Linked DNA regions of Rattus norvegicus. The main gene of each other region encodes a partner of the protein of the gene in region 3 in a complex. Links are inferred from orthologs where the notes say so. Each region holds a gene or a part of one and is shown on either strand. Other genes may lie near its edges. The genes, in order: Stk11, Cftr and Ywhaz.

What was found.
Region 1: the proteins of Ywhaz (region 3) and Stk11 are in contact, whole or in part, in a crystal structure (PDB 5WXN), measured with the Homo sapiens proteins. The link is inferred for Rattus norvegicus from reciprocal best matches to the Homo sapiens genes YWHAZ and STK11. Residues at the interface, in NP_001129171.1 of Homo sapiens: Asn42, Ser45, Val46, Lys49, Asn50, Arg56, Arg60, Phe117, Lys120, Arg127, Tyr128, His164, Pro165, Ile166, Gly169, Leu172, Asn173, Val176, Tyr179, Glu180, Asp213, Ile217, Leu220, Asn224, Leu227, Trp228; in NP_000446.1 of Homo sapiens: Trp332, Arg333, Ser334, Met335, Thr336, Val337, Val338, Pro339, Tyr340, Leu341.
Region 2: the proteins of Ywhaz (region 3) and Cftr are in contact, whole or in part, in a crystal structure (PDB 5D2D), measured with the Homo sapiens proteins. The link is inferred for Rattus norvegicus from reciprocal best matches to the Homo sapiens genes YWHAZ and CFTR. Residues at the interface, in NP_001129171.1 of Homo sapiens: Asn38, Arg41, Asn42, Ser45, Val46, Lys49, Arg56, Arg60, Glu113, Phe117, Lys120, Arg127, Tyr128, Glu131, His164, Pro165, Ile166, Gly169, Leu172, Asn173, Val176, Glu180, Ile217, Leu220, Asp223, Asn224, Thr226, Leu227, Trp228; in NP_000483.3 of Homo sapiens: Arg764, Arg765, Arg766, Gln767, Ser768, Val769, Leu770, Asn771, Leu772, Met773, Thr774.

The regions. Positions count from the first base shown.
Region 1 is NC_086025.1:10,234,746-10,245,275, forward strand, and holds the start of Stk11 (serine/threonine-protein kinase STK11), read right to left. Parts: upstream 7,221-10,530; 5' UTR 6,399-7,220; coding exon 6,109-6,398; intron 1-6,108. UniProt on the Homo sapiens protein: Tumor suppressor serine/threonine-protein kinase that controls the activity of AMP-activated protein kinase (AMPK) family members, thereby playing a role in various processes such as cell metabolism, cell polarity, apoptosis and DNA damage response.
Region 2 is NC_086022.1:47,523,548-47,534,077, reverse strand, and holds the start of Cftr (cystic fibrosis transmembrane conductance regulator), read right to left. Parts: upstream 6,450-10,530; 5' UTR 6,423-6,449; coding exon of another isoform or gene 6,313-6,422; coding exon 6,260-6,312; intron 1-6,259. UniProt on the Homo sapiens protein: Epithelial ion channel that plays an important role in the regulation of epithelial ion and water transport and fluid homeostasis. Mediates the transport of chloride ions across the cell membrane.
Region 3 is NC_086025.1:69,825,378-69,835,206, forward strand, and holds the end of Ywhaz (14-3-3 protein zeta/delta), read right to left. Parts: intron 5,545-9,829; coding exon 5,421-5,544; intron 4,809-5,420; coding exon 4,645-4,808; intron 4,564-4,644; coding exon 4,468-4,563; intron 2,083-4,467; coding exon 2,023-2,082; 3' UTR 1,027-2,022; downstream 1-1,026.

The DNA.
Region 1 (10,530 bases), about 60 Mb from region 3:
CTTGGGGATGCAGCTGTCTCCGAGTCACTCTGCTCCTGTAAGTAACCCCAGTGAAACTCACTGGTTCACCACATTAAGACTTTGGTGGTCCTCATACTTGGGTCTGTTGTGGGCTCCCTACCTGGGCTAAGCAGACAGTGCGTAGCATCTCCACAGAAGTTTGTTACACAGCACATGATGTGCTGGTTAATGGTGATCAATTCTACAGGCACTGGCGAAGTCTGAGGGAGTCTCCAGATTAGACTGAGCAAGGACAAAGTCCTACCCCCCAAAAATGGGTTGAGGGGGAGTCTGTCTCCTGCCTGCAGATATGATGTGATGTCATCAGGCGCCTCCCAGTTCTGCTGCCAGGCCTCCCCCACAGGGAGGAACTCTGCCTGCAATCACTTCCTTCCTAAGTGGCCTTAGTCTGGTGTTGGGTGACAGCAAGTAGACAAGTATATGAGACAGTGTCCCAGCATCCTGAGGACTGGACATGGTGCTATGTATCTGTAACCCAACACTTAGGAGGCTGAAACAGGAGAATTATGAGTTTGAGGCTAACCTGGGATGCTGGAGAGATGGCTCAACAGGTAAACGCTCTCTTCCTGATGACCCTGGTTCAGTTCCCAGCACGCACACAATGGCTCACAACCATCCGGAACTCCAGTTCTAGGGGATCTGGTGCCCTCTTCTGGTTCCCCAGGTACATTACAGCATAAATATGGGCAAAACACTCACACATAAAGTTTTCATTAAAACACACACACACACACACACACACACACACACACACACACACACACACACACACGTTACTGAAACCCCCAGCACCCAACTCTCACCCACAGGAAAGTGCTTGAGAGCATAAGAGAGCCAGAGAGCCCAGGCAGGTTCAGACCAGGAAGGACCCACCACTTGGCTTCAGGGCTTTTGCCACCCTCCCTGTGTTCAGGGTCTCTTTTAGGTAACCAAGAAAAGCAGGTGAGAAGGAAGCCACATGGTGCTGTACACAAGCTTGTAGTCTTCAACAAAGCAGACCCCCAGATCAACCTGGGTCACAGAGCGAGCCCTGTTCAGAAACAACAGGAAACGATGCTAAGAGAAGCCAGCTGTGCACTGGTGTGGGAGGAAGCAGGAGTCCAGCTCAGCACCTCAGAGCCCAGGCCAGGGAGGAAGCCCCAGACTTCCCCTAGGTCCCATCCAAGCTCCTCTCGGGCAGCCCAGTCAAGGCCCAGGCAGGACATGCGCACAGTCCTGCCCTCTGAGCAACTACACAAAGCTGAGACTACAAACCTGCTGGAGCTGACAAAACACCAGGCTGTCACAGGCATCCCACATCCTAGACAGACCCTAAACTCAGGAGAGGGGCACTTCAACTCAGTTCTCAAGGTGGCAAAGCTCAGTGACAGCCACCTGCCTGGCACTGGGAAAGTGTGGCCCACGCAGAGTCCCGAACTCTGCCTGCACAGCAGATGCTAGCGCTCCACCCTACCCCAGTTCAGTGCACTGGCTGCTTGGCAAGGGTCTGTGGAACAACATGGGTCACTCATGGAAGCACCAATTCCCTGCCAAGGAAACCAGCTGACAGGAGACTGCAGAGACAGGAAATCTCTGCAAGCATGCGTGAGAACCTGAGTCTCATCTCCCAACACCATAAAAATCTGACTGCTGGGGCTGGGGGTTTAGCTCAGTGGTAGAGCGCTTGCCTAGGAAGCGCAAGGCCCTGGGTTCGGTCCCCAGCTCCGAAAAAAAGAACCAAAAAAAAAAAATAATCTGACTGCTGCTGCACACCTGTGAGTCCTGTCACCTGTCTAGTGACAGGTTCCAGGTCCCAGGCACTGACTGAGAAGTGACACCTGAGGCTGCCCCCTGGATACCACATGCACATACATGTATGCAGGCACACAGGGTCGACTCCCAGCACTGTCCCTCAGGCAGGCAGCATGAGCAGCTGTCGAGTCTGCTTTGGATGCTCTATGAGCTGAGGGCTGAAAACCAACGAAGCTGGTTGTTGGCTATGTTTCCCACAACTCGCTAACGTCCCAACTATGCACAGTCCACATCACACAGCCAGGCAGTCACCATGGAATGGCCTCCAGTTGTCCCTGGATAGCTGCCAGCATCTCCCATGGTCCCAGCAACCCAGACAGGTGCAGATCGGGACAGGCAGTGACAACCAACAGCTGAGCACCCTGACTGCACTGTCTCAGCAACAGTAGCCATCCAGCACAGACACTCTGCCCAGGCAGGTGCTCCCTGTCCCCAAAGAGAGATGGTGACCAGACAAATTGTAAAGGACAAGCAGCTCAACTAAGCATGATCCATACTGCCAGGACCCAGCTTTTGGCAGCAGGGCCCTCAGCCCTAACCACTGGAGGGCCAGCAGGAGCCACCACCTTAGTGGACTGAAAGAACGCAGGCACAGCTGGCCATCCATAACCTGCAACTAGCAAAGAGCAAGCAAATGGTGATGCCATGGCTGGCCTCAGCCCATGTGCAGAGCAGGAGGAAGCTTGAGGCCCAGAGCTTAAGATCAAGCATTCCGACAAGACCCTGCCTTACAGAAGAAAACTAAATGCCTTACATGATGGTGCCCAGCCATCAGCCCACTGCTCAGGAGACACTGACTGGGTCATCCACAACTACATAGCAAGCTGGAGACCAGCCTGGCCTACATGAGACATCTCTAAGGACTCAAAACATGGCTCGGTGATTAAGAATGTCTTTGGCTCTTGCAGAGAACCTGGGTTCAGTTGCGAGTACCATGTTAGTCAGCTCCCAAGTCCCGCTCCTGCAGCTGATGCTCTTCAGGCCTCCCCAGGCACATGCATCCCCAACCACCAGCCTCTATACGCACACATGCATAAAAGCAAATCCAAATGGTTAGGCAGTGGTGGCCGGACACCTGTCACACCAGCACGCTGGAGGCAGTATATCTTATAAGTTCCAGGCCAGCCTGGGCTACAGAGTGAGCTCCAGGACAGCCAGGGCTACACAGCCTGGGGTGGAGGTGGGGGTGGGGTGGGGCTGGGGGTGCCAGGAGTGAGGGACAAATCTAAAAAAGGAAGACATCAACAACAAAAAACAAAAAATACAAGAAAACAAGAACATAAACAAGAAGCAAACGAGGCTGGAGAGAGCTCAGTGGGTAAGAGCACACTGGCTGCTCTTCCAGAGGTCCTGAGTTCAAGTCCCAGCAACCACATGATGACTCACAACCATCTGTAATGGGATCTGATGCCCTCTTCTGGTGTGTCTGAAGACAGGGACAGTGTGCTTATATATAATAAGTAAATTTTTAAAAACGAAACAAAAAACAAAAAGAGCAAATGTACAAAAGCGTTCTCCTGGGTCACGGTGAGGGCGTCAGGTGGCCAGTTCTCACCTAGGTCTGTGCCTTCCACTGCAGCATGCAGACACGAGGCTGGAAGAGCCTCACCCGCCATCTTCTGGGGTGGCTTTCCAACTTGTCCCATCTGGAGGATCTCAGAAGTCTATGCACAAGCAACAAGGCCCATGCACCCAGGGGGTTCACACGGCCCCCCCTCCCCAGGTAAGGCAGAGCAGAACAACCATAGCACTCTTGAGGGGGGTGGGGTTAAAGCCACAGCTGCAGAGCCAGCAGGTCAGCAGCAACTCCAGCTCTCCCCTTGGCTGGTATAAGAACTTGCTACTTAAGGCTGGAGAGGTGGATCAGCGGCCAAGAGGACTTGGCTACTCTTCCAAGGACCTGGGTTCAGTTCCCACAGAGCAGCTCACAACGGTCTCTAACTCCTGTTCCAGGGAATCTGACACAGATGTCTATGCAGGCAAAACAGCAACGTACATTAAAAAATAAAAATAAACATTAAAAAAAAAAGATCTTGGGGCTGGAGAGATGGCTCAGCGGTTAAGAGCACCCGACTACTCCTCCAGAGGTCCTGAGTTCAATTCCCAGCAACCACATGGTGGCTCACAACCATCTGTAATGAGATCTGATGCCCTTCTCTGGTGTGTCTGAAGACAGCTACAGTGTACTCATATAGAATAAATGAATAAATCTTAAAAAAAAAAAAAAAAGATCTTGCTACTTCTCACGGGTGGATGAGTGTGTGTGTGTGTGACAGGAACCAAAGTGCACAGGTCCCTTCAGCCTTCACAGAAACGAAGGCGCCACACTACTCCACTGGTCCTGAGAGGAGAAAGCTCTGTGTGCAGACTGGATGACAGGACCCCAGGGGCTTGGCTGGAAAGTTCCAGACACTTCACCACAAGAGAGAGACAACATGAGTGCAGTCTATTAAGCTCCTACAGACAAAGGGGCCTTTCTGCCTGCACCAGCTGTCGCCAAGCTGCCCCTTCCATGCTGTGGCTCTGTGCACACCAGCAGGTGCCCGCAACCTTAGGGTTCCCACTGCACGAGTCACTCAGGCAGTGGGTAACACCAGCACTCCCCTAGAAACACCTGGCTTTGTGTCCTGCCATTCAAGGACCTCAGAGCAGGGCAGTTTGCCAGTCCGAAGCTTTTGCCTCAGTTTCTCCTCCTGGCTTTTATCTTTCCTGCCCATGTGTGTGTACGTGTGTGTGTGCCACAGCACACATATGGAGGTCAAAGCAAACTTGTAGGAGCTGGGTCTGCTTTCACCTTCCAGACTTTGGGGCACTTACCTACTGAGCATCCTACCAACCCGTTTTCCTCATGAAACCAAGTTTTCCCATGCATCTGGCTGGTCTACAAACAGAAGCAATGTTCCTCCCTCAGTCTCTCTAGCACTATGACGACTGCATGTACCCATTTGCCCAGACCAACTCCTGGCTTGAGGAACAGTGCAGGCTCCTTATAGCACCCTACTGACGTCCAGTGGGCTGTGTCCAGCGTCTCTCTAAGCCCACACTGTCACTGCTGTACTTCCCCAAAGCGGCCACTTGCCTGGGAGGTCAGCAGTCACCACCCAGAGAGGAGCAGCCTATGGCACCTCCATCTTACAGACAAATTTTCCAACCAGGTTTTCCCCAGCTCAGGCCTCCGAACTCACTGAAGGCACACCTGACGCTGGGTCCCCACGGTTCCCCAGTGCAAGACTAACCTAGGACCACTCCTACAAAGAAGGCAAAGCAGGGGGGCTGGGGATCTAGCTCAGCGGTAGAGCGCTTGCCTAGCGAGCACAAGGCCCTGGGTTCCGTCCCCAGCTCCGGAAAAAAAAAAAAAAAAAAAAAGTCGGGCTGGAGAGATGGCTCAGCGGTTAGGAGCACTGACTGCTCTTCCAGAGGTCCCGAGTTCAAATCCCAGCAACCACATGGTGACTCACAACCACCTGTAATGGGATCTGATGCCCTTCTCTGGTGTGTCTGAAGACAGCTACAGTGTACACACATACATGAAATAAATAAATAAATAAATATTTAAAAAAAAAAAAAAGGCAAAGCAGATCCTGAGGACACCCCCCACCCGCCTGGCTCCACCGCTGGGTCCACACATCGGTTCCTGAGTATCTGCCTGCCTTCCTGTGGGTACCACTCAGAACAGTGCACAGCTGGCAAAAGCAAGAAGCTGCCAGACAGCCTTTCCTGGGACAGGACCACAGGCAAGGTCAGTTTGACAGCGCGTCGCCAATGCAGGCCCCAAAGATAAGGCCCCTTCTCGGAAGCCGGTAGGTGAAGTTTCCCAAGTTCCGCCAAGCCGGGCAGGCGATAAAGAGTCCCCACGGCCCAGCAATGCCAACTAGGCAGGATATTGCAGGGGCCCGGGCCAGCACTGGCTGGCTACCCACCCCCTTTCACCCCAAATCACCATTATTTTTGGCCCTGCCGGTTCCCTCTGTGTAAACAAACGAGCCACCCGCCTGGCAACGCCCGCCAAAGAAGGCAGGCCTGACTTGAGCCAGGACCTGGCCCAAAGAGGAGGGCTGGAGGCACAGTCGGCCACACGACCTCCCGCTAGGACAGTCCTACCGGCTGCCCCAGCACACAGACCCCCGAGGTGACGCTCAGGGAGAGATTGGGTAGATAAGATAGTGAAAGGAAAGGGGAGGAAAAGAGAAGGGAACGAAGGTTAGAGGAAAGTGAAGAGCCAAAAAGTGGAGGAAGGGCTGCCCAAGGAGTTCAAGGCAGCAGCACCCACGTCGGCCCCAGGCCCTTGGCACCTACTTCTTGACGTTGGCCTCGCCATTGGGGATCCTGCGCAGCTTTTTCTTCTTGAGGATCTTGACCGCCCTGCGGCATAAGGTCTCGGAGTCCAGCACCTCCTTCACCTTGCCGTACGAGCCCTCCCCGAGCAGGTCCCCCATCAGGTACTTGCCGATGAGCTTGGCGCGCTTGCGGCGCGGCTGGTAGATCACCTCGGTGGAGTCGATGCGGTGGATGAAGGTGTCCATGCCCACCGACATTAGCTCGCCCTCGGGGAACAGGCCCAACGGCTGGGGGTCAGCCACGTCCATCCTGGCCCACTCTTTGTCCTCGTCCCCTTCGGGAGCGCCAATTCTTTTCAAGTTCAAATTTCCCCCACCCGCTTCTTCCAAATGTTCAAGAAGGGGAAAAAAAGGAATGGGGGGGGGGGAAGGAACGACCTCCACAACCCTCCCGGTCCCCACAACCGGGTCCACGTCCGTTTCCTGGGCGCCAATTCTTCACTTTTGATTTTCCCCTTTTCTTCTAGGTGCTCAGGGAGAAAAAAAATGAAAATAAGAATAAAAAAAAAAAAAGCAATGAGCCCCCCCAACCCTCGCGTCCCCCTAATTCGGGTCCCCGGGGACGCTGCTTCCGACGGAGGCGACGGTCCGCCGTCGCGGCGCGCGGGCCGCTAGGTCATGGTCGCCACTTGGGCCCCGCGCTCAGGGGCCCAGGCGGCCGCGTCGAGGACGGTCCGCTCCGTCCATGTCCGGCCCGCGCCGACGCCGCGCGCGGCCCCTTAGTTCCCTTAGTTCCACGACTTCTCGGTGCGCAAACTCCACCCGGACGCGGGACACCCACAAGTCGCGGGCACGAAGTCGGGACAGGAAATCTTCGGGGGACCAATGGGGGGAGAAAACCACCCGGGGCGGCGCGTCCCCCTCGCCGCCTAGCCGCCGCGTGACAGGCAGGAGGCCGGAGCGGCGAGGGGGGAGTCGAACTTCAGGCAGAAAGATGCTGTCCGCGAGAGAAAACTCCACGCCGACACCGCCCTCGGAGGCTCGCGCCTCACTCGCGGGCGCTGTGAGCCGCCTCCCCTTTCCTAGACCGACACGCCGCCGCCATCTTGTTTACCGCCCTGCGCCGCGCCGTCGTCGCACGTCTCAACGGTGGACACGCCCCCTCGCGGAGCCGACGTGCGCGGCAGTTGGCTGTAGCTTTAAACCCCACCCCTCGAACCCGCCGCAATCACCAACGCGGATTGGACTATTTGGATCTGGGTGGGCACCCGAGCTGACATTGGACAGCTCGGGTTCCACTTGTGAAGGCGTGATCTACATTCTCATTGGTAGTCTCAGACGCCGGTCAATGGGAGTTGGAGTAAGCAAGTGACTGTAAGGGAGCGGCCGTGGGCTGTGGCTTCAAGCCCCGCCCCTCGGCAGTTGGTTGGTGTGTGTGGGCGGGATCTTATCTGTAAGTGGCTGTCCTAGACGCCCGTCGGCAAGTGCGACTGGCCAGCGAAATCTCTGGGCTGCCGGTGGTGACCTCGGAGTTTCGTGCCTCGGGTTAGAGTTCACGCGCGTCAACGTCCTCTGGGAACAGCCGCGACTGGAGGCATGGTGCGGGGGGTGGGGGTGGGGGGAAGAAAGGGACTCCTGGATACCTAAAGTGATCTAGCCACTGCTTGTTCTTAACGGCCTTGGGGGCGGAGTCAAAGGTCAAATAGTAGCCCAAATTTGACACTTCGGAACCTGGAGCCACTGAGATCAGTGTGGGGATAGACCCAAGCTGGTGCCATAGAGAGGAGCGTTTCGTGTGCAAAATAAGAGCCGCTGGGCTGGTGAGATGGCTCAGCGGCTGCGTACGATTGACGTCAAGTCTGACCGCATGAGTTCGAACCCCGTAAATTCACAAGGTGGACAGCAAGAAATGCCTCTCACAGTTTGTCTCTGATCCTAAACGCTCCGTGGCAGGCGCGCGCGTACACACACAACACACAGAGTTTTAAATAACAGTTGTCAAAAAAAGTGGCTGGGTAGGCTGAAGAGGTGGCTCAGTGGTTAAGAACACTGACTGCTTTCCTAAGGGTCCTGAGTTCAATTCCCGGAAACCACATAGTGGCTCGCATCTCATCTGTAATGAGATCTGATGCCCTCTTCTGGTGTGTCTGAAGACAGTGACAGTGTACTCACATACATAAAATAAATAAGAAAATCTTTTTTTTTAAAGGTGTCTGGGGGCTGGAGAGATGGCTCAGAGGTTAAGAGCATGGACTGCTCTTCCAGAGGTCCTGAGTTCAATTCCCAGCAACCACGTGGTGGCTCACAACCATCTGTAAAGAGATCTGATACCCTCTTCTGGTATGTCTGAAGACAGCTACAGTGTACTTGTATATGATAAATAAATAAATCTTTTAAAAAAAATAAAAGGTGTCTGGGTTGGGGATTTAGCTCAGCGGTAGAGCGCTTGCCTAGGAAGCGCAAGGCCCTGGGTTCGGTCCCCAGCTCCGAAAAAAAGAAAAAAGAAAAAAAAAATGTCTGGGTAAGATTGATGTGGCCGCTGGCCTCATCTCAACTGTGTTGCAGTATTTTGGGGTGGTTTGGGTTTTGGTCACTTTCCTATAAAAATTTAACTTGTTTACTTTTATAGGCGTGTCCTTTTTTAACTGCATGTATGAAAATGAGGGTTGTGATATGATTGAACGGCTAGTGCTCACCCTGCGCGACTCCCCTCCACACACTATTCAAACGCGGGTTACAAGGTCCATAGATCCGTGAATCTACGGTTCCCTCTGAGGCCACCAGGGGGCGGGGTGGACTGCCAGAAGGCCAGTCCTGGAGTAAGGAGACATAAGGGACAGAGACGCCACTAGGGGTGGGCAAAAGGCCTTGGTGGTCAAGCTCAACCGACCTCCATTCAAACCCCAGGACTTACATGGAGGAAGGAGAACTGACTCATGCTAGCACATAAATTAAGGAAAAAAAGATCAGAGAAACAGATCTGAAGACAAGTTGAGGGAAAACACAGGCTAGACAAACAGAAAAAAAAGCAGAGCAGGGTCAGAGGTGAGGAGCACTGGTGCTCTTTCAGAGAAGCCACATGGTGGCTCATATGCACTTCTGTTGGATTCAGTACCCTCCTCTGGCCTCAGAAGACACATGGTGCCATACACACATGCAGTCAAAACACTCATACACATGAAAATTGAACTTAAGAAACTAACAAAGCGCTGGAGAGATGGCTCAGCGGTTAAGAGCATCGACTGCTCTTCCAGAGGCCCTGAGTTCGAATCCCGACAACCACATGGTGGCTCACAACCATCTGTAATGAGACCTGATGCCCTCTTCTAGTGAGTCTGAAATATGTGTGTACTCACATAAATGAAATAAATAAATCTTTTAAAAAATTTCACGAAAAAGGAAGGAGAGACAAAGATGAAGGAAACAGCTGGAGGGAATATCGTTCCCCCACCTCCAGAGCTGCAGCCCAAGCAGCTCCTCACAGGGAGACTCTCTGGATTTTCACCTTCCATTGCATGGCAACAATAAGTAAGTCTCTTTTTTTTTTTTCGGAGCTGGGGACCGAACCCAGGGCCTTGCGCTTCCTAGAATAAGTAAGTCTCAAACACCTACACCTACACCCTTCACCTGACAGACACTAAGGCATCCTGGGAGCTTTAGGGGCAATAAGCATCATCCTGGTCCCCACCCATTCTGAACCTGGAGCTCCCGGAGTGGGACAGCCACACCTGACCAAGATGTTACCCTGAATTCTCTAAGAAGAGTCATCACTCTGGTGAGAACTCTGGGTCAGAGACATAGATATATTTAGAGGTTTATTGTATTTACGTACATATATGAGAGAGAGAGAGAGAGAGAGAGAGAGAGAGAGAGTGTGTGTGTGTGTGTGTGTGTGTGTGTGTGTCTGTTCGTGCACACGCATCACATTCAGGACCTCACAGAGGCCTCAGATCCCCTGGAGCTGGAGTTATAAAGAGTTGTGGCCAGCGGGAACCGAACCCGTGAGTTCTGGTAGTGCAGCTACTTTATAAATTTGGGAACTCAGTACCACTTCAATAATATGACTTTCCCCTCAGAAGTAGCAGATTACAGACCATGGAAGCACATCAGAAATGGCACTGGGACCACATGGTGGCTCACAACCATCTGTAACGATATCTGATGCCCTCTTCTGGTGTGTCTGAAGGCAGCTACAGTGTACTCATATATAATAAATAAATAAAAATTAAAAAAAAGATATAAAAAAAAAAAGAAATGGCACTGGGGGAGGTAATGCCACCAGGAAGAAAAAACCTGCAGATTCCACATCAAGCCTGCAGCCGGCTCAGTGGGTAGGGCACAGTTTGACGGGTCAGGATCCCTGCTTCCATCCCTGGTACCACATAAACCACACTAGCAGTACTGTCATCTGGATCTATCCTCAACTACATAGTGAGTTCAG
Region 2 (10,530 bases), on a different chromosome or scaffold from region 3:
TCCTGAAAGAATAGGGATTCAAGGCCCATACCTAAACATAGTAAAAGCCATATACAGCAAACCAGTCTCTAACACTAACTTAAATGGAGAGAAACCTGAAGCAATCCCACTAAAATCAGAGAATAGACAAGGCTGCCCACTCTCCCTACTTATTCAATATAGTTCTTGACGTTCTAGCCAGAGCAATCAGACAACAAAAGGAGATCAAGGGGATACAGATTGGAAAAGAAGTCAAAATATAACTATTTGCAGATGGTATGATAGTATATTAAATGATCCAAAAAGTTCCACCAGATAACTACTAAAGCTGATAAACAACTTCAGCAAAGTGGCTGGGTATAAAATTAATTCAAATAAATCAGTAGCCTTCCTCTACACAAAAGAGAATAAGCAGAGAAAGAAATTAGGGAAATGACACCCTTCATAATTGTCCCAAATAATATAAAATACCTCAGTGTGACTTTAACCAAGCAAGTAAAAGATCTATACAATAAGAACTTCAAGCCTCTGAAGAAAGAAATTGAAGAAGACCTCAGAAGATGGAAAGATCTCCCATGCTCATGGATTGGCAGGATTTATATAGTAAAAACGGCCATTTTACCAAAAGCGATCTACAGATTCAATGCAATCCCCATCAAAATACCAATCCAATTCTTCAAAGAGTTAGACAGAACAATTTGCAATTTCATCTGGAATAACAAAGGATAGCTAAAACTATCCTCAACAATAAAGGGACTTCTGGGGGAATCCCTATCCCTGAACTCAAGCAGTATTACACAGCAATAGTGATAAAAACTGCATGGTATTGGTACAGAGACAGACAGATAGACCAATGGAATAGAATTGAAGACCCAGAAATGAACCCACACACCTATGGGCACTTGATTTTTGACAAATGAGCCAAAACCATCCAATGGAAAAAAGATAGCATTTTCAACAAATGGTGCTGGTTCAACTGGAGGTCAGCATGTAGAAGAATGCAGATCGATCCATTCTTATCACCCTGTACAAAGCTTAAGTCCAAGTGGATCAAGGACCTCCAAATCAAACCAGATATACTCAAACTAATAGAAGAAAAAGTGGGGAAGCATCTCGAACACATGGGCACTGGAGAAAATTTCCTGAACAAAACACCAATGGCTTATGCTCTAAGATCAAGAATCGACAAATGGGATCTCATAAAACTGCAAAGCTTCTGTAAGGCAAAGGACACTGTGGTTAGGACAAAACGGCAACCAACAGATTGGGAAAAGATCTTTACCAATCCTACAATAGATAGAGGCCTTATATCCAAAATATACAAAGAACTCAAGAAGTTAGACCGCAGGGAGACAAATAACCCTATTAAAAATGGGGTTCAGAGGTAAACAAAGAATTCACAGCTGAGGAATGCTGAATGGCTGAGAAACACCTAAAGAAATGTTCAACATCTTTAGTCATAAGGGAAATGCAAATCAAAACAACCCTGAGATTTCACCTCACACCAATCAGAATGGCTAAGATCAAAAACTCATTTGACAGCAAATGCTGGTGAGGATGTGGAGAAAGAGGAACACTCCTCCATTGTTCGTGAGATTGCAGACTGGTACAACCATTCTGGAAATCAGTCTGGAGGTTCCTCAGAAAATTGGACACTGAACTACCTGAGGACCCAGCTATACCTCTCTTGGGCATACAACCCAAAAGATGCCCCAACAAATAACAAAGACACGTGCTTCACTATGCTCATAGCAGCCTTATTTATAATAGCGAGAAGCTGGAAAGACCCCAGATGCCCTTCAACACAGGAATCGATACAGAAAATGTGGTACATCTACATAATGGAATATTACTCAGCTATCAAAAAAATGACTTTATGAAATTCATAGGCAAATGGAGGGTTCTGGAAAATATCATCCTGAGTGAGGTAACCCAATCTCAGAAAAACACACATGGCATGCACTCATTGATAAGTGGCTATTAGCCCAAATGTTTGAATTGCCCTAGGTGCACAGAATACATGAAACTCAAGACGGATGATCAAAATGCGAATGCTTCACTCCTTCTTTAAAAGGGGACCAAGCATACCCTTGGCAGGGAATAGGGAGGCAAAGATTAAAACAGAGGCAGAAGGAACACCCATTCAGAGCCTGCCCCACATGTGGCCCATACATATACAGCCACCCAATTAGACAAGATGGGTGAAGTAAAGAAGTGCAGGCCGACAGGAGCCGGATGTAGATTTCTCCTGAGTGACACAGCCACAATACAGCAAATACATATGTGAATGCCAACAGCAAACCACTGGCCTAAGCACGGGACCCCCGTTGAAGGAATCAGAGAAAGGCCTGGAAGAGCTTGAAGGGGCTGGAGACCCCATATGAACAACAATGCCAACCAACCAGAGCTTCCAGGGACTAAGCCACTACCCAAAGGCTATACATGGACTGACCCTGGGCTCCAACTGCATAGGCAGCAATGAATAGCCTAGTATGAGCACCAGTGTAAGGGGAAGCCCTTGGTCCAGCTAAGAGTGAACCTCCAGTGAACGTGATTGTTGGGGGGAGGGCGGTAATGGGGGAAGGATGGGGAGGGGAACACCCATATAGAAGGGTAGGGGGAGGTGTTAGGGGGATGTTGGCCCAGAAACTAGGAAAGGGAATAACAATCGAAATATAAATAGGAAATACTAATTAATTAAAAAGAAATACTCAAGTTAATAAAGATAAAAAAATGTTTCAACATTTGCTCCCCCTCCTATTTTATCAGAATGATTGTCCCATCATTTTAAGGGAATGTTAAATATCATCAATATGCAATACACATATATCTGTAGAGTTGATCACAATGAAGTCAATTTCAACAAGAAACAGTTATTAGAATCATGTAATCCTGGATTCCTGAAATGTGCTGAATACTAAACACAAAAGTAGTTTACAATTTCAAATAGCCGTCAACATCAAAAAATGATTAATTAATGGGCTATATAGAAATTGACCATTTGAAATTGACAAGCCTCATCTGAACTATTATAGTATTCTTCCGAAAAGCCTAAGTTCTCTGATAATCAAGCCCATGAAAAAGCCACTTTGTAATGCTGATTTTACACAGAGAAACCTACATGCTGCATTGATTCCATTCTTAAGAGCTGAAGGGAAGTGGCTAAAACACTGTTTCACACAGTGATGATGAACAATGTATTTATGAAATCCCTCTGTCAGTATCTCCAAACAAGTGGACCTCTTTCATAGTTTTTCCCTCTTAAACTCACTGCTTTGCAGGTACTTTGCTCTGAGGAAATGTACAAGATGCACGGGGAAGAGAGGATCAAAATGGCCCAAATTGCTGCTGACTCAGAGGTGTTTTTAAAGTCTCAACAAATAATGTCTAACTGCATGTTAAATGGTTAACGCCCTTCCCTTATGGTTTGGCAATCCTATACTTATCTATAGTTCTACCACAGTGAAATTACAGGTTCCTATAAAAGGACATTAACGGTAATAATATACTTTATGGTGATATTTATTTGTAGACCTCTTAAACAAGTTTTAACATTTAGGAATTATCACAGTAAGTCCAACTTCCATAAAGAAAACAAAAAGCCTTGACTTCCCCTGTGTATCAGTGTGTACTGAGTACTATTTCATTGCTACATCAAACAACATGTTGATGAAGTTATTTTAAAATAATTATAGCTTCCTCTGCTCTGAGGAGCAATGGATTGACTATTAAAAGTATATTGTGTATTAACGTGCTATAAAACCTTGGAAGAGATTTTAATAATTGTGATATCAACTAAAATAAATTTCACTGTATAGGGATATTTATTACACATACACACCCATATATACTACATACACAAAATGACAATTTCATCATGTTGTGTACAAGTGGTACTCTTAGAACTGTGCATTAAACTAAACAAAATTAACAAAAACCTAACATAAATCCCAAGTTGAAAATTCTAAGCTTTGTAATATTCAAACATGATCAGTGAAAAATAAACAGGAGTCCTAAGGGACTGGTACAGAGCTAACATTGGGCAGTGCTTGCCCACTGTCGAAACAGAGGGTCTCCATCCTAGATGTGGATTCTTCCAATTCTATCAAAGAAAAGCCAAATGATAGCATGGAACTCTGGAGCTGTAGCCACTGGATGGCATCCATCAACTAAACGGACAGCTATCCTGAGTTTTCTAAATACCATATCCTCAGTATATCAAAAGTGGCCTTTGGATTTGGATAACCTAAGTCTTAGCAAACGTAAGATAGTGTCTGTGCATGGATCAGAAAGAGAATGGAAATGTTGCTACCTAACTTGTTGAAACTGTTTATAGCTCAGTCAGTAAAGTAACATGCTTCCCAAGTATGAAAAGCTGAGTTCAATCCCAAGCACACATATGAGAAGGTGGGCAAGGTGACGACACATGATTACAATCTCATTGCTGCCAAGGCAAAGACAGTAACACTCCTTGGGTTCGCTGACAAGTTTGTCTAACAACTGGTGAAATTCAGGCCAATGAGAGACATGTCTCAAAGGAGATGATGGCTCTTCTGAGGATATCTTATACTGCACTCTGTGGGCATAAAAGCAAGCATGTGCATGTGCATGTGCATGTTCATGTGTGTACGCACACATGCATATGCTAACAGATACACAACAGGCATGATCTTTTTCTTAAAGCTATATGAAAATGCAAAGTTTCCAGAGCCCACTGCCCTGGACACTAAGCACACTGCCTAATCCAGTGGAGAAAAGGTTTTCACCCTTTGAAAAGTATAGTCCAGAAGGAAGTTTATAATCACTGACTGGTACTTAGCTAAATGTCAGCTCCTATAAATAGGAGGAACTAAACTCTTAAAAACACACCTATTCTTAAAGCAACTGATTATGAAATCATTTGGAGAACAGAAATGAGTATGTTCTTAACAAATTTCACAGCCATTATAATACATTTCCTTTCCAAATCTGCCTAAGAACATTTGTAAAGCACACTAAAATGTATTAGGTGGATTATAAAAACGGGAAATTTTTGAAACACTTTGATAAGTGAAAAATTTTGAAGTTTCTTAATACTTAGTGGGGGAAACACACAAGAGATATTCATTCTTCAGAAAACTTGCCTTTTCAGGCAGATTGACATTTAAGTTCCTCAATAAGCTCTGGTGAAAGTCTAAAGTTTATGTCAATTGACAATCTGATATTGTAAGTAGTAAGAAATTAGATCCAGGCTGATAAGCTAAATTTATAGACGAAGTAAGAAAAGGCACTACAAATATCCACTCTAAAGAGTAAAGAGGGACCTTCTCTCCCATCCACTGGGAGGAGCTCTCCTGTAGAAGCACTTGCCTCCCCTCAGTCCTGAGCTCTAGACCTGCAGAAAAAGGACTGAAGGCTGAGCCTTGCCTCGTACCCACACCACAGGGCACATTTAGAACATATTCCACATTTATGATACTTTAGTGTGCTGATTCACTGGGGGTGGGGTTGAGCCAGCTAAGGACCCATGAGAGAGCTGTTCTCTTCATTCATTCACACTACATGACTGAGTACAAGAAGCTCCACAGAGTACCTCATATACAAAGTGCTTAATACTTGCCTAGGTCTTCCAACTTCGATTCTAATTTTTTTTGGTAGGATAAGAGAACAATCTCCTAAGTATCAATTGAATATAGCGTCAGTGGCTAGAACCCTAGTCTCATATCCCCAGAGTAACTGAATTTTCAAATGCATTGCTTACAGTATTTCTTTCTAAAGTTAGGTATTTTAACTGACTTGCTCATTCTTAAAGAAGAATACTGTAACTGTACTAAGCATGTTAGTCTTACTCAATATTATAACAGCAAAAGTAAGTATAATTCCTTGATTTTTAAAAACCTGAGTCAATAAACGTTTTCCAAACACCTATTATATACAGGCGCGCCACCTGCAGACAAACTTTTCTGGGAGAAAACAATGGACCAATCTTAATGTTTTATTAAGTACATTTATGATGTATAACTGTTTTCAGGAAATTTAAAAAAATCTATTGCTCTGTTGCATATTTGGCTGTTGCAAGTCTGATTCCAGGTGCAAATATATATTTGTTCTCTGTTCCATCAGTTTTATTTCATTCTACAAAATACATAGTTCCTTTAAAGCAATGAATGACAACACACCTTTAAAGCAAAACAAAACTCAACAAAAATCTCTTCCTGTTTTCCCAAAGTCTGCCCGTATTTATTCCCTTCTCTGGCATGGGCACACGTGTCCCTGAAAGATCCTCTGGGCACCCTCTCACCTGAAGAAGAGTTTGGAGATAAAGCTGGCTTTCTCCAGAGGCGACTTCTGCATGATGTCTCCGTGGTGCACTAAGGTCTGTGTCCGGACAGGTTCAGGTTGGACTCGACTTCTGGATATCCAGGACCCGTTCAATGCTTTTGGCTCTTCCCTTTTACTCAGTCCTGAGGTGATGTCATTTGCTTCCAATTCCCCCCACCCACTCCGGTCCCACACACCTCCCCTTCCTTAGCCTTCTTCCCCCGCCTCCGCAGCCCAGGTTAAAGTCAGCACTGCCTAGCCCAGCCTCACAGTCACTGCTCTCCACGCCCCGCGTCCGCCCCGGGCCAGCGCTCCTTCCTCCAGCGCGCCCGCGCCTCCTGGCCCGCGCCTCCTTTACCTTGGCCTTTATTATCCGCGCCCGCCCTCCAGCGCCCCCCTCGTGCCTACCTTCACATGGTGGCCCCAGCAGTGGCTCAGACAGCGGGCCCGGGTAAACCATGGCCAATCTGCGGGACTTAGAATCCTTCTTACTTAGGAATAAAGACCAGTCACTGATTCCCTTAGCTTCCCGGAACCTTTCTCTTCCTTCTCCTTGTCCCTCTCTCTCCTCTCCCTCCTTCTCCTCCTTCCCCTCTCCTCCTCTTTCTCCTCCTTCACTTTTTTCTCTATCTCTTTCTCTCTCTCCTTCTCTTTGTCCTCCTTGATCTCTTTGTCCTCTTCCTCCCTCTTCTCTTCCCACTGCTCCCCTGCCTTCCTCTCTTTCTCCTCCCTCCTCTCTTTCTCCCCCTTCCTCTCTTTCTCTTCCTTCTCCAACTGAATCTTTCCCTTCACTTTGCTCTCCTTTTTCTTCTCTTTCTTCCTCCTTTCTTCCCCCTCCTCCTCCAGTTAACTTTTCCAGATCCATTTTGGAAAGGAGAGGAAAATGTGGCTCTTTGGTATCAAAGAGCACTCAAGAAGCTGCAAAGTTCCACCTCAGTAAGCCCTTCAAGAGCTGGACGAGACCTAAGCTCTGTTGACTGAAGGCTCCAGAGTAGACAAAGTGGCACAAACACCTATGAGGTGACACGCACATATGTCACAATTCCCTGATATGTCACAATTACAGCAAAAGTCCTACCAAGGAAAGGGAAGCCACTACTTTCCCGTATGAGCTACATGTGTATCATACATATATGTCACAATGCCCTGATATGTCATAACTTGACATATCAAAGTCCTCAAGGACAAAGGGAGCTACTCCTTTACCACTTCTCACTCAGGACCTGCTCAGTGTGGTGTGGTATTTCACCTTCAGAAGGCTTTTATGTGTGTGCTAGAGAATGACAAGAGGAGTCTAAACTAAATGACCCTCCTCTCATTTCCCCCTAGTTTTGTTAAGCAAAATATCTTGACTAAGACACTGAAAGGGACTCTGAGTCACTGAAGCAAAGGTGTCCTATTCACCTCAAGTTCTCTGAGAGAAAGTTCCCCAGGCTGTGGGCCTTCCTTCCCAGCTTTTGGTATGAGAAATGTGTGTCTAACACAAAACCCTGCTGGGCTATAAAGAGACAATACTTAAATAACTAAACCCTGCTGTGCCAAAGCAAGTGTAAATAGAGGTTTTTTTTCCTTTCATTGAAAATCGAACGTTCTTTTTATGCAGGCTGAGGCAGCACACATCTTTAACCCCAGAATTCAGCACTCAGGAGTCATAGGCAAGCAGAAGATCTCTGAGTTCAAGGCCAGTATGGTCTACAGAGCAAATTCCAGGACAGCCATGGCTACACAGAGAAACTCTGTCTTGAAAAACCAAAACCAAACAAACACAAAAAAAAAACAATTTTTTTCTCACACACTATATCCTGATTACTGTTTTTCCTCCCTCTACCCCTCCCAGTTCCTTCCCTCCTCCAGTTTCATCTGGATCATTCCCTTTCTGTCCATCATTAGGAAACAAACAGGCTTTTAAAGGACAATAATAAAATAAATAAGGTTAAGAAAACGTATTAGACTTAGACAAAACAAACAGAAAGGGGCCCAATAAAGGGCATAAGAAACAGAGACCAACTTGTTCAAACATTCAGGAATCCCACAAATACACTGAACTAGAAGCCATGATATACATACAGAGTATCTGGTGCAATCCCTCAACAGCCCCATGCTAGTTTCCCCAGTGTCTGTGAGTTCACATGACCTTGGGCATGTTGACTCAGAGGGCCTTGTTTGCATGGTTTTCTACCTTCTCTGGTCTATCCTTTTCTGCCCTCACTGCGGGGTTCCTAATCCCTGAAGGGAAGGGTTTGATAGGGCTATCCCACTAGGGCTGTTTGTTCCAAGGTTAGAGTTTGAGGGTTTTGAGGCCTGATTCTTGCCTCCCCACTATAAAAGCAAGGGAGTTTACTTATAAATTATCTGATTTTTAATTTGTGGACATCCAACTACAACACAAGTAAAACGTGTATTTCATAATACTTCTAAGACAAGAAAATACATTTAAATTAATGAATGATGTGGTCAAGAGGCCTACTTCCTGTATCTATACTAGCTTTTTTCCTTATCATGAAATAGTTGTAAAGACATTTAATTTAACAGCCAAACTTGATTTAAAGATAAAAAAATAGCAAAAAAGATAAAGTTTTTACAGATAGAAACTGCAGGAAGGCTTGTAGGCCTTCTAACCTGTCACTGTCAAGTGCTCTCCTTGCATTTTCCTCTCTCCATTATGACAAGAGAACTTGGAACTTGGTTCTCACTATTGACTTTTCCCATCCCTTTGACTGAACTTGATTTATCCTTCCCCACCCTCACCTGTTGTTTGTAAATGCTAGTGTGACCATCACAGATGATGCAGTTTCTGAAATGAATTTGTTATCAGTTCTTCCTTGTTTTCACCATCACATGACACTAAATGAAGAATTAAGTTTCAGAGATCATCAAAGCTGGCCAAACTGCATGACTCCAGGATATCTCAAGCTGCTTCCTCTTGAAAGGACAAGTGAAAAGTTATGAGTCCTTGCAGTTTCCAGGGACCTTCATCCAACAACCATGTTCATATATACTATTATGCCTATTTTGCCATTTCCAGGTAATGAAGCATTGGAGTAAATGTTGTTGGTAAATATTAGTGGATTCAAATTCAGATGTGATCCCAAACCTTCAGTCTCATCAGTGTGAAACATTAAGCAAATCTCCCACCATGTATTCCTGTTCTGCCACCAAACCTTTCTCCTCACATTAGTTTCATGAAGTCAAAACTTACACAGCTGTTCAATAAGATAGGAAAGCAGAAATCTACTGACCAAAAGGCCACGAGAGCTATATATCTTGAATAAATGTTATGTAAGTGGCATAATCCATTCTAGAGTATGTATACGTGAGCATAGGCAGGCCCTAGACTTTTATCATAAGGCATCACAGTCCAAACTTGTTTGGGCAGAAGATTTCAGCAAAGCAGACAAGTCTAAGTAAAATAAAGATATGATGTACATAATTTGTACCTAGGTACATGCCTGATACAAATGTGAAAATATATCAGAAAATACGTGCAGATATAGGTAAGATTGTGACTGAAGTTCTAAATGAGACTCTCAAAGGAAATCAACAGATCAGGATGAACATAAAAGGTGATACTAAGATATGATGATTTTTCTCTTCAAGATACTCAAATACTAATCATATCATCATATACCACTACAATAGCTTACATTCATTAGATATTTATCATATGTCATGAGTAAATTACAGGGTGAGATTTGGCTCTTAGGACATGTTCATGTACAGGTAACTAATACCCCATTCTGCAGAGGAAGAACCTGAAAAATAATGGTTTATTAATTCCCAAGTTAAGTTGCTTGGCTGATTGATAACAACACAGTGGCTTGGTGTGGTTCTCAGGACAGAGCATGGCATGGCTTGTCCCACATCCTCAGTCCTAGTCACAGTGTGATCAGCCAGTAATAATGAAAGAGCGAAATGGAAGGCGAAGCTAAGCAGTCTTTGTCTGCCCTGGGCCTTGATGATTGCACATCCATCTGCAGGACTGACTGGTGTTTTAGGAAGAGCTGTGCTTTAGTACAGATGAGTAATACTCACTCTCGTGGCATACCTTGAAGATACACTGAGAGGACTGCAAGAGGAAGCGAGGAAGGGTTGGTGAAAAGAAAGAAAAGAGGAAGAGGACAAAAGGAACCCATGTCTATTTGGCACCAACTACAGTGTGTGCCAGCCATGTGCCAGGCGCTTTCCACAAATGCCCTTAGCAATGTAAGCTTTCTGTCTATGCTTCTCTACTTGCTGGAAAATTGTCCACGT
Region 3 (9,829 bases):
ATTTGTTTAATTTGTCCCAAAGGAATGGGGTTCCAGAATGTGACCGGATCATCATGGAGCGAGCCAGGACATGCTTGGAATTTCTCCCCTCACCATTGAGACTCACTGCCTCCCATCATCAATATTTATTGAGCATTTACAGTGTACTAGGCACAATAGAACATACAGAAGACATTGTCCCTGCTCTTGAGGAGCTTACATTCTAAGGAAAAACACACCTCTTGTAGAATGGCATTTCTGTTTGGTGTTTTCTGTAAAGTACTGAGGAAATACTCGGTGGGGTGTGAGCTCTGGGTGTGACTTAGCCCCATCTTTATTGGAGAGGAGGAGGAAGGATTTTAAAGGGAGACTGTGACAGACCATTCAGGGCAGGGTCTCCAGGGAGATAAACACAAGCTCAACTGAGGAGCTGGGCTGCAGGGGAGGATGAAGAGAGGCTGTGGGATGCAAGCAGAGGAAGGAAGTGGGATCTCAGACACTGAGTGGACCCAGGAAGATCATGCGGCCTTCTCCCAAATACATGGCCACCAAGTTGGAATGGCTGGTGACAAGACAGTAAAAGGGAAGCGAGCCTGTGCCCGACATGGAAATAGAGGACTGGAATCCCAGACAGGCAGGTTGTAAGAGCATCAGGAAATTCTGAAAACCAACAGTGACTTGGAAGCACAGAACTTAACGGTTAATGCTGCCCAGTGTCAGTCACATGGGCCAAGAACATTGTGGCTTCCTAAGTTAGAAAACGCCGTAGACCACAATTTTCAATGGAACACATTACCTTTTGCCAATCACCCCCCACCCCCAATAAAAGTCCACTTTCATTGTTGAGGGAGTAAGAGGAAGAATGTGGGGGATGTGGCTGAGAATGGAAGCTACATTAGCGTTTTTGTTATGATAAACTTTGCATTCAAAATTGGTAAAAGCCCGTTAGCTGCCAAGAGGGAATAAGGAGAACAATTTCCTTTAGAGAAGTCTCAAAACCGAAAGACTGATCTACATGGAAAGCTGTAGAGAAAAGTAGTTGAAAAGTCCATTCATAAAACTTTTATTCCACTTACATGAACTTTAATACATGTGTTCTTAACAATTATGCTTGGATTGTTCATGAAAATTTCATAAGACATTAAAACAAAGCTAGCCGTCATCTCAAGTTATTTCCCTGTTAACTATTTTTACAGCACATGCATGTTAGGCAAGTATCAAAAAGAGAAAAAAAATCACAAAAGCAAAAACAAAACAAAACAAAAAACTTAAAAAAAAAAGTTAAATACATGGGATTTTGTTTACCGCTGTGCTTGATCCGCATGGAGCCGGGAACACCAAGCAACTCGTTTGTACTGCATCTTTACTTTTACATTTGTTCTTAGATTGCCTAAAACATTTAAATACAAATAAAATGTGTAGCAAAAATAATGAAAGCAAACAGCAGGTAACTTTACAAATAATGGAATGTGAACCGTTTCTGCCCTTATCAGAGTAAATTGGGTCACAACTTTGTCTACAGACAACTTCTGGAGCTGTGGTCAAGGGTGTGCACGCAGACACACGGTCTTAGCGTGCATCCACAGGGTGTTCGTGTCCCAGCCTCACAAGTGCTCCAAGCCTTACAGTACCCACACAGACTACACTCATGACTGGACCCATTATCCTGTTTATTCCCCGCCAGCACACACCAATATGTAGGCAGTTTTCTTTGCTTAGACATGGAAGCAGTTTGAACACTGGCCCTTCTGAAGCCACAATGGACCAAAAGTACTAACTATGCCAAACATGTGTAACTCATGTAAAAATTCCACATCCCATATTGGCCACCTCAAGATGAAAACGAGTAACTCCCTAAAGTTAACTGGCTCTACTCCCCTAATATTAAAACATAAAACCACATGGGAAATATAGAAATTCAAATAGAAGTAACATAAACCTGTCATAAATCGTAAACAAAAAAACTATCTGTGGGACAGCATGGATGACAAATGGTCTACTGTGTAAATTTTAGAATGAGGCAGACAAAGGTTGGAAGGCCGGTTAATTTTCCCCTCCTTCTCCCGCTTCTGCTTCGTCTCCTTGGGTATCCGATGTCCACAACTGGTAAAGAAAGGGAAAAGATTTTTTTCAGCATACTTCAGATGGAGAAACAAAACCAGCATCCAACCTTCTGTACACATGTTAAGGGTGGGTCTGGCCTGTGACTACATGCTTTAGTCAGAAAGCTTGGGGCATCACTGAAGGACAGCCTGACCCGGGGAATGGCAGATACACAGCACATCTGTCTGTCTTTCAACAGAACAGATTTAAGTAACTAATGGGCAGGAAGTGGAAATCTCAGTCTTTTAGACAAGGTGGCTTAGTCACTAAGCCATAAATGGCTTGCCCAGCCTCAGCCCCAAACCCACCGTAGAGCCTAATGCAGAGCCAGCCAGTCCTCTCACTTCTGACTCTCAAATATGTAAAACCAAAGCTCTAATGCCAATGGTTTTTAGAGTGTTTTCCAGAAAGATCTCACTCTTGGAGCTGGGTGAGCTGGCCTCTCCTGACAATGTCCCAGACCCAAAACAAACCTAACAAATGTTATGGACAGAAGCAAATATTCTACCAAAAAGAAGAAAGGTGTCGTAGGATGGCAGGATTATGGTTTTCATTATTAACTTCTCATTACTGTTATAGTGTTTCAATAAGCTAATACAGTTCTAAATAGTCCCAACTGTTTCCAGGTAAAATATTTTAAGCCAAACTTAAAAAGGAGAAAAAAGGAATCTACCCTCTAACCTAATATATTCTCCCCAAATCACCTTCCACACTTGGCCTAGAACAGACTCAAAGTCACACATAGCTGGCCAGGTATCTTCTTCCAGACTGTGTGCTTACGAATAGGACAACAGTCTCCTGTCTGTTCCCTCCTTGTCCTTTAATGGTTTTACATTTTGTGTATAAACCTTACACACTACAATCAGGATAGTCTCTTGTGAGGCACTGGCTGTGTCAGCTGGGTGTCACGCTGTCAACAGCAGTCTAACAAGGCTCAGGGCAGAGCTGCTCCTTGACCTTCTCACTCTGCTTAGGACACTCTTTCCTGCACTCACCCCATAATTCCAATGGATGAGAGGAGCATTCAATCAGGAGCCCCTAAAAGTAGTGACACACCTAGGCCTAAGGTCTACTTTAAATACCACCTCATCACTTCAACGCAAGCCTAGACAACATGTAAGACTTAGTGCTAGTTTTCTTCTTGCTTTGCCTAGAATTTGTATTTCTCCTGCCTAAGCTTCCCACCAACTAAAATAACAGCTGTGTGTCACCATGCTCAGCAAGTAAAATAAATTTTTAGCTTACTGAGGACCATAATCAAGGTCTTACACACCGCAGGTAAGCACTTTTCCAACAGCTACACTCACCCCCCCCCATATATTCTTACAATTAGAAATTAGCTAACGAATCAAGTGCTTCATATTTGACGTCTTTTCTTTCCTTTGGGCAGGATGCAGCTCAGTGGTATTCACCTAGTGTATAGAAGGCCCAAATCCCACCTCCAGCATGCACAGCAAGTCAATTCCATATTAACCCTTGCTTATTTTTAAGTCTCTTAAGTTTGTAGACAACCCCAGTTAGAGTTAGTAAAATAATTTTAGCTACAGACTTTAACAGGAAGTAAAACACATAAAGAATGGACAAGTCTCTTAGACAAATTGAACACACACAGAAAAGTAGCCCATAGACCAGAGACACTCATTTCTACCTTTTCCCCGAAACACAGCAAATGCTGGGTAACTTTTTCACCCAAGCCTCAAAACTTCAAATTACTACTCATCTGAAGAAGGAAAAACCCAAGAAGCCAACCATAAGCATGGCTTTATTGGGATCCTATTTAAATAATAAATAACCATTTAAATGAATTTTCAAGAACTGTTGTTTTAGTTTGGTTAAGACAATGGTATATATGGGGTTCATGTTCAAACCTTCAGCACAGCAGAGCATCAACCCCACCTTTCCCTGGGCTAGAGACCAGGCAAGCAAGGGGTGCACTTGTTCCCACCAAACATGCACAACACTAAAGGACAAGAAAACCAACTTCAAAGACAAGTTAGACACCAATAGTAGCAAGTTTACTTTTTTTGTTGTTGGGTTTTTGTTTTTTGGAGATAGAATCTTGTCATGTAGCCTAGGCAAGCTTGTCACTAAGTAGTCCAGGCTAGCCTGTAACTAACTCATGATTCTTCCTCCACCACAAGAAACCTGGATACTTCTGCTGAGTAAGCACATGACTGACTCTGGGGTGAAAAAAATGAAACTACTCAAGACTTGAAACAGAAAGGAGTAACTTAGGATAAGTTAAGCCCAAAAGGTATCTATCTCTCATAAGTACTGGCAATGTTCTCAATAAGGTAGTTTTCTTCTTGGTAAGCTTGTAAACAGTAGATAGGACGCTATATTCAGTTATCTGGCCACACCCTTCAGACTGTCTTAGGTACTCACTGTCAAGTTGTCTCTCAGTAACTGCATTATTAGCGTGCTGTCTTTGTACGACTCTTCACTTAATGTATCAAGTTCAGCAATGGCTTCATCAAAAGCCTACAAATGCAAAACAAAGTACACCTTAGAATTCAAATAATGAACACTGCCCAATTCCCAAGTAACAGGTAAAATACATACTGTTTTTGCAAGAGAGCAGGCTTTCTCTGGGGAGTTCAGGATCTCATAGTAGAACACAGAGAAGTTGAGGGCCAGACCCAGTCTGATGGGGTGTGTCGGCTGCATCTCCTTTTTGCTGATTTCAAATGCTTCTTGGTATGCTTGCTGTGACTGGTCCACAATTCCTAGATAATGCAACACAGTGAAATGGACTTTCAAATTCTATGCTGCAGCTTAAGCCAAACTTTTCATTTAAGATTGCATGTGTCCTCTGAAATATACGCTCTGACAGTCTTATCCAAATTATACTCTTTAAAACAAACAATGCTGTCCTGGATCACACTAGTCACTCGCTGTTGTCAAGAGAAAAGCAACTCAGAGTGGAGCTGAGTTGAAATGATAACTCTGAGGCAAAGAACACTGGCTACTTTTCCCAGTCTGGTTTGATTCCCAGCACCCTAGGGACAGCTTACAACAGTCTGTAACTGCAATTCCGGGGGATCCAATCGCGCTGCTCTGACCTACAACAGTATCGGACACATGTGCCCAAACACATGCAGGCAAACACTCATACACACATCCATCTGATCACCATCTTGTGATTTCCTCATTCTACTCTGAGGTTAACCTCTGTTAACATCGAGGAGACATTCTTATACAAACAGCTTTTCAGAAAGCTTCAAGTTCAAAATACTAACAGGCAAAAACACAAGACAAAAAGAAAGAGTGCTCAGTTCTCTAAGTAACATAACAGAAAAGAAGATGTATATAAGCTCAACCAAGCAAAACCAGCTCACCTTTCTTGTCATCACCAGCAGCAACCTCAGCCAAGTAGCGGTAGTAGTCACCCTTCATTTTCAAATAGAAGACTTTGCTTTCTGGCTGCGAAGCATTGGGGATCAAGAACTTTTCCAAAAGAGACTTCAGAAGAAAAGAAACAGAAATATTAAGACAATACTTACAAATCAAAGTAAAGTATTTTTCTTAAGCAAACACTATAGACTCAGTTGTAAAAGATTTCAAAACAAAACCTTAGTTTTTCTAACAGCACAGCATTCTAGAGTGCTGGTGCAGGAGGACTGTGGTGGATGAGGACCAAGCTCGACTGCAAACCAATGCTGTCTCAAAAGTGTAGTAAATCAATAAGCAACTCAAGGCAGGGAAAGGCCAGATGAAAAAAAAACACTTGTTAATTTCAGCATAGCAATTGGTCTTATCTACAGATCATCACAAATGGTAAAATTTCATCCTGTAGCTTTGCTTAAAACTATTAACAACTTAAAGCTTACTGGAATTGTCACACACCAAATAAAACCAACCTTTTATAGCTAATTTCAAGTAGATGATGTAACTGCATTGGAGAGAAAAAGGTAGAACTGAGTGAATTTAAAAACAAACCAGTCTCTTACCATACCCACTCCCTTGGATACCTCTGCTTTGAAATCAAGGTGATGTTCCTGCTCATCTGGGCTGAACCCCAGATGAGCCAATTCTTCCAAGAGTACTTAGATTCTGGTTTTTATTCTCTGAAAAGATTTGAGTATCTATTATCTAATGATGGGGGACATAAGTGAATACACTTGAATCCTGCTGCCTACTCTATGAATGTAGACAGGTCATAAAGATACAGTTAACTGAGTGACCACCCCTCATAAAGTACATGATTGGCAGCTGGCGTGGGCACCTTTGTAATCTCATCACTTAAAGGCAACACAGAAGCATTCTGAGTTCAAGCATAGATTGTACTACTCATGGAGAGACCCTGCCTCTAAAAACAACCCCCCCCCAACAATAACACACTACCCAAAGGGCTAGAAACGTGTCTCAGTGACCTTGCACTGGCCCAGCAAAGCCACAGAATCAACTTGAGTGTGTGGAGGGTGCAATGTAAAAACCTAAAGTTATGACAGAAACTCCTTTAGGCAGTATTGATAAATGTTAGTGGGAATTAGCAACCTACTTTTTATCAGTAATTTCTGTATTCCTAGAAACCACGCTGAGCAGGGCTGTGGCCACACATCTTTAATCTAGCACTGGAGAAGCAGAGGAGCCAGTTCGTGAGCTCCAGGTGAGTGTAGCTAGAGCCAAGTGTCAGGACAATCAGAGCTACAGAGACCTCTGAAAAACCAAACCAAACCAACCCCCCCACCTTACTGAAGATTGCAGGAACAGACCCAACAGCAATCCCTCAGCCTCAACACTGAAGTGACTCACTTCATTAATTTTCAGAGTGCCAACCAAGTAACCACAATGTCTAAACCTCTCTTAAAAGGACCCCATGAACAAAACCATCTAGTTGGATGCACACCCACATTTTCTGGGGATAATCACAGGCTTCCAGAACCATGAGTTTTTCATTTAAACCAACAGCAGCCAAAAACATCTGAAAAAGTCACTTTCAACTTATAACAGGTCCACCACATGTATGGGGCCTGGGAATCTACTCATGTCAGTGACAGCAGCATCTCCCCATCTTCCTTACAGAAAAAGCCGTCAACACAGGGGTTACAGTAACTTCCTAGTTCCAAGGACTATACAATCTTTTTTATTTAAAAACTGTGAGCACATAGCAGTAAAGGATTCAATGAATCCTGCCTTGTCTTGCTTCCTGATAAGGAAGTTTAGCTGTTATTTTTGGACAGTAAGTGCTGATGTTCAAAACAGCAGTGAGGATAGCAAGAGCTCAGCTTGGCAGTCAGGAAGCTCTTCCAGAGGACCCAAGCTCAATTCCCAGAACCCACATGGCAGCTCCTTAACTTTTGCAACTTGTGTTTTAGGGGAATCTGGCCACCCTTGTCACCCTTGTCCACCAGGCATGTACATGGTGTAACCACATGCATAAAAAACAAAACAGCCCACACAGAAAACAAGAAGACAGTAGACAATAATGCTGATTGCTTTGACTGGAAAGAGTTATGGCTGCACAGGATGACGAGTGAAGAATGACTCCCAAGTGCGGGCACATCACTGTTAATGCCTGTAACTTTGTAGAAACGCACTATACACTGCTCACCTTAAAATACAGCAACTGTTTATACTGTCCACCCTCTTCAAAAAGAACAGGAAATAATTTGTACTAAAATACTTTTCAATACTAACATATTCTTCCTAAACCTATTTTTTTAAATAAGCGCATGAGTTCCACTTACATCGTGTCTACTTCTAAAGGTTTTAGTTTGAGGAGAACAAGGACTTATCCTTTCTTTGGTCGCCAGGGACTAGTGAACACTGAACATAAATACAGAATAGACTGCAAGGTAGAGAAAATGGCAGGGCTGAGTTTGTTTTTTCTCTTGGAGTAGGTACAATTATTAAAACAATTTTACACCTTTTCACTTTCACACAGTCAATTTTGTTTCTCGAGCTACAACCTCAATACTGTCCAGGTGTAAACCGGAATTCATGGGCTTAAGTGATCATGCCCCAGTCCTACAGTAGTTATGGTAGTAGGACCTCATGGTTTTTAATCTTATAAGCTACACAACAATAACAAACCCCCAAATCCATTATGCTGCCTGCTTCTAAGATGCTCAAATAAAGTTCTGACTGAATTACAATGAATGCATACTTTCAACAGCCTACTTTAAATAAAAAGAGAATTTTACAACAACCTTCAGTAGAACAATTTTTATGACCTTAGTGCCTTAAAGACCCACTTCTCAAATATAAAAATAAACGAAGCTCACTATTTAACTTTTAGACAATTAAGATACAATATAAACTAAGGCTGACACTATCAGATAATTAGTAGTTTCCTAAGACAAAAAAAAAAAAAATCTGTGTTTCTGATGCTGAGTGCTCGCCAGGACGACACACACGCGGTGCCGGGCAAGCACCCGTGATAGGAGCAGCAGCCACAGAGCAGTGTCTGCCCACCTGCCTGAGCCAAGGGAACTCACTCTAGAGCAACAAAGGCCAGTGAGAACTGGCCATTGAGGCAGTACAAGGATCACTCTTCACTCACCCGGTTTCACTGCAACATTAACTTCAGTTTGCTTTCCATTTTAATCCCAGAAGTGTCCCCAATATGCTAAGTGGTCCCCAATATGCTAAGTGTTCCCCAATCTATCATCAACCTTCAGATTTCCTAGATATTTGAGAGTACATTTCCTCCTCTGACTTTAAGAAAGCCTGAAGTATCTAACTAAGAATTACAAAAGTAAACCAAATCAAAGGACAGTGTACCAGGAAACGGGGGAAAGACCAAAACCATGAAAAGCAGATGGAAAAGCTGCCCAACTAAAGGACAGTGATTCAAGGGTGTAAGGGAACAGAATTCTGGAACCATCTGATAAGAACAGTGGTCCAATGTCGTATTTAAGAAAAACCTGTAAGTAAACAATTTGGTTGGATTCCCGGTTAAAACCATAAAAACAGGCTGGAGAGATGGCACAGTACCTAAGAATGCTGGCCGCTCTTCCAGACTGCCAAGGCTCCCCATAGGGCAGTTCTCATCCATCTGTAACTCCAGTCCCCAGGGGATCTAGTACCTTCCTTTGGCCTCCAAGGGCACCAGGCACCCACTCAGTGAACGGACACACACTTGGACAAAACACGAATATACTTAAAAAATTTAAGAGCAGGTAAGATGGTTAAAGGCCTTGTGCCAAGACTGGTGACATGATTTTAATGCTTAAGACCCCCCACCCCAAGAAGGAAAACTGACTCCAGTAAAGAAGTGTCCTGTGGTTTAGGTGCAAATGTATTTCAAATTCCAGAGGCAGCACAGAAGCAGTGATGCATGAGTAAACATGGGGAGACAGCTCTCGCTTTCTACACTTAGAACAAGCACTGCATCAATTGCAGGAGGGTAACAGATTGGTGCTTGTGCCTATAGCCCTAGCACTTGGGAGGAAGACTGCGCCAAGTGTGAGACTGGCCTGAGCTTTGGCATGAATTGTACCCTATTTCAAAAAACAGAGATCTGGGCATAAGTGCCAACACTTGGGAGGTAGAGACAGGACTACAACTTCAAATCCAGTGTGCACTATCCAAGACTAGTCATACACACAGCTACATGCACCCTCACAATGATCCTAAAACTAATGAACTAAACTCTGAAAATGCAGCTCAACTGTAATGTGACTCCAAAACCCACTCCTCTACTTTAGTGTATCGCCACATCACTCAATGACACCAAAACACCCCCAGAGAGGAGGACATGGTGCACATTCCTAGTCTTGGGCAATTCTTTCCCACGTAAAGT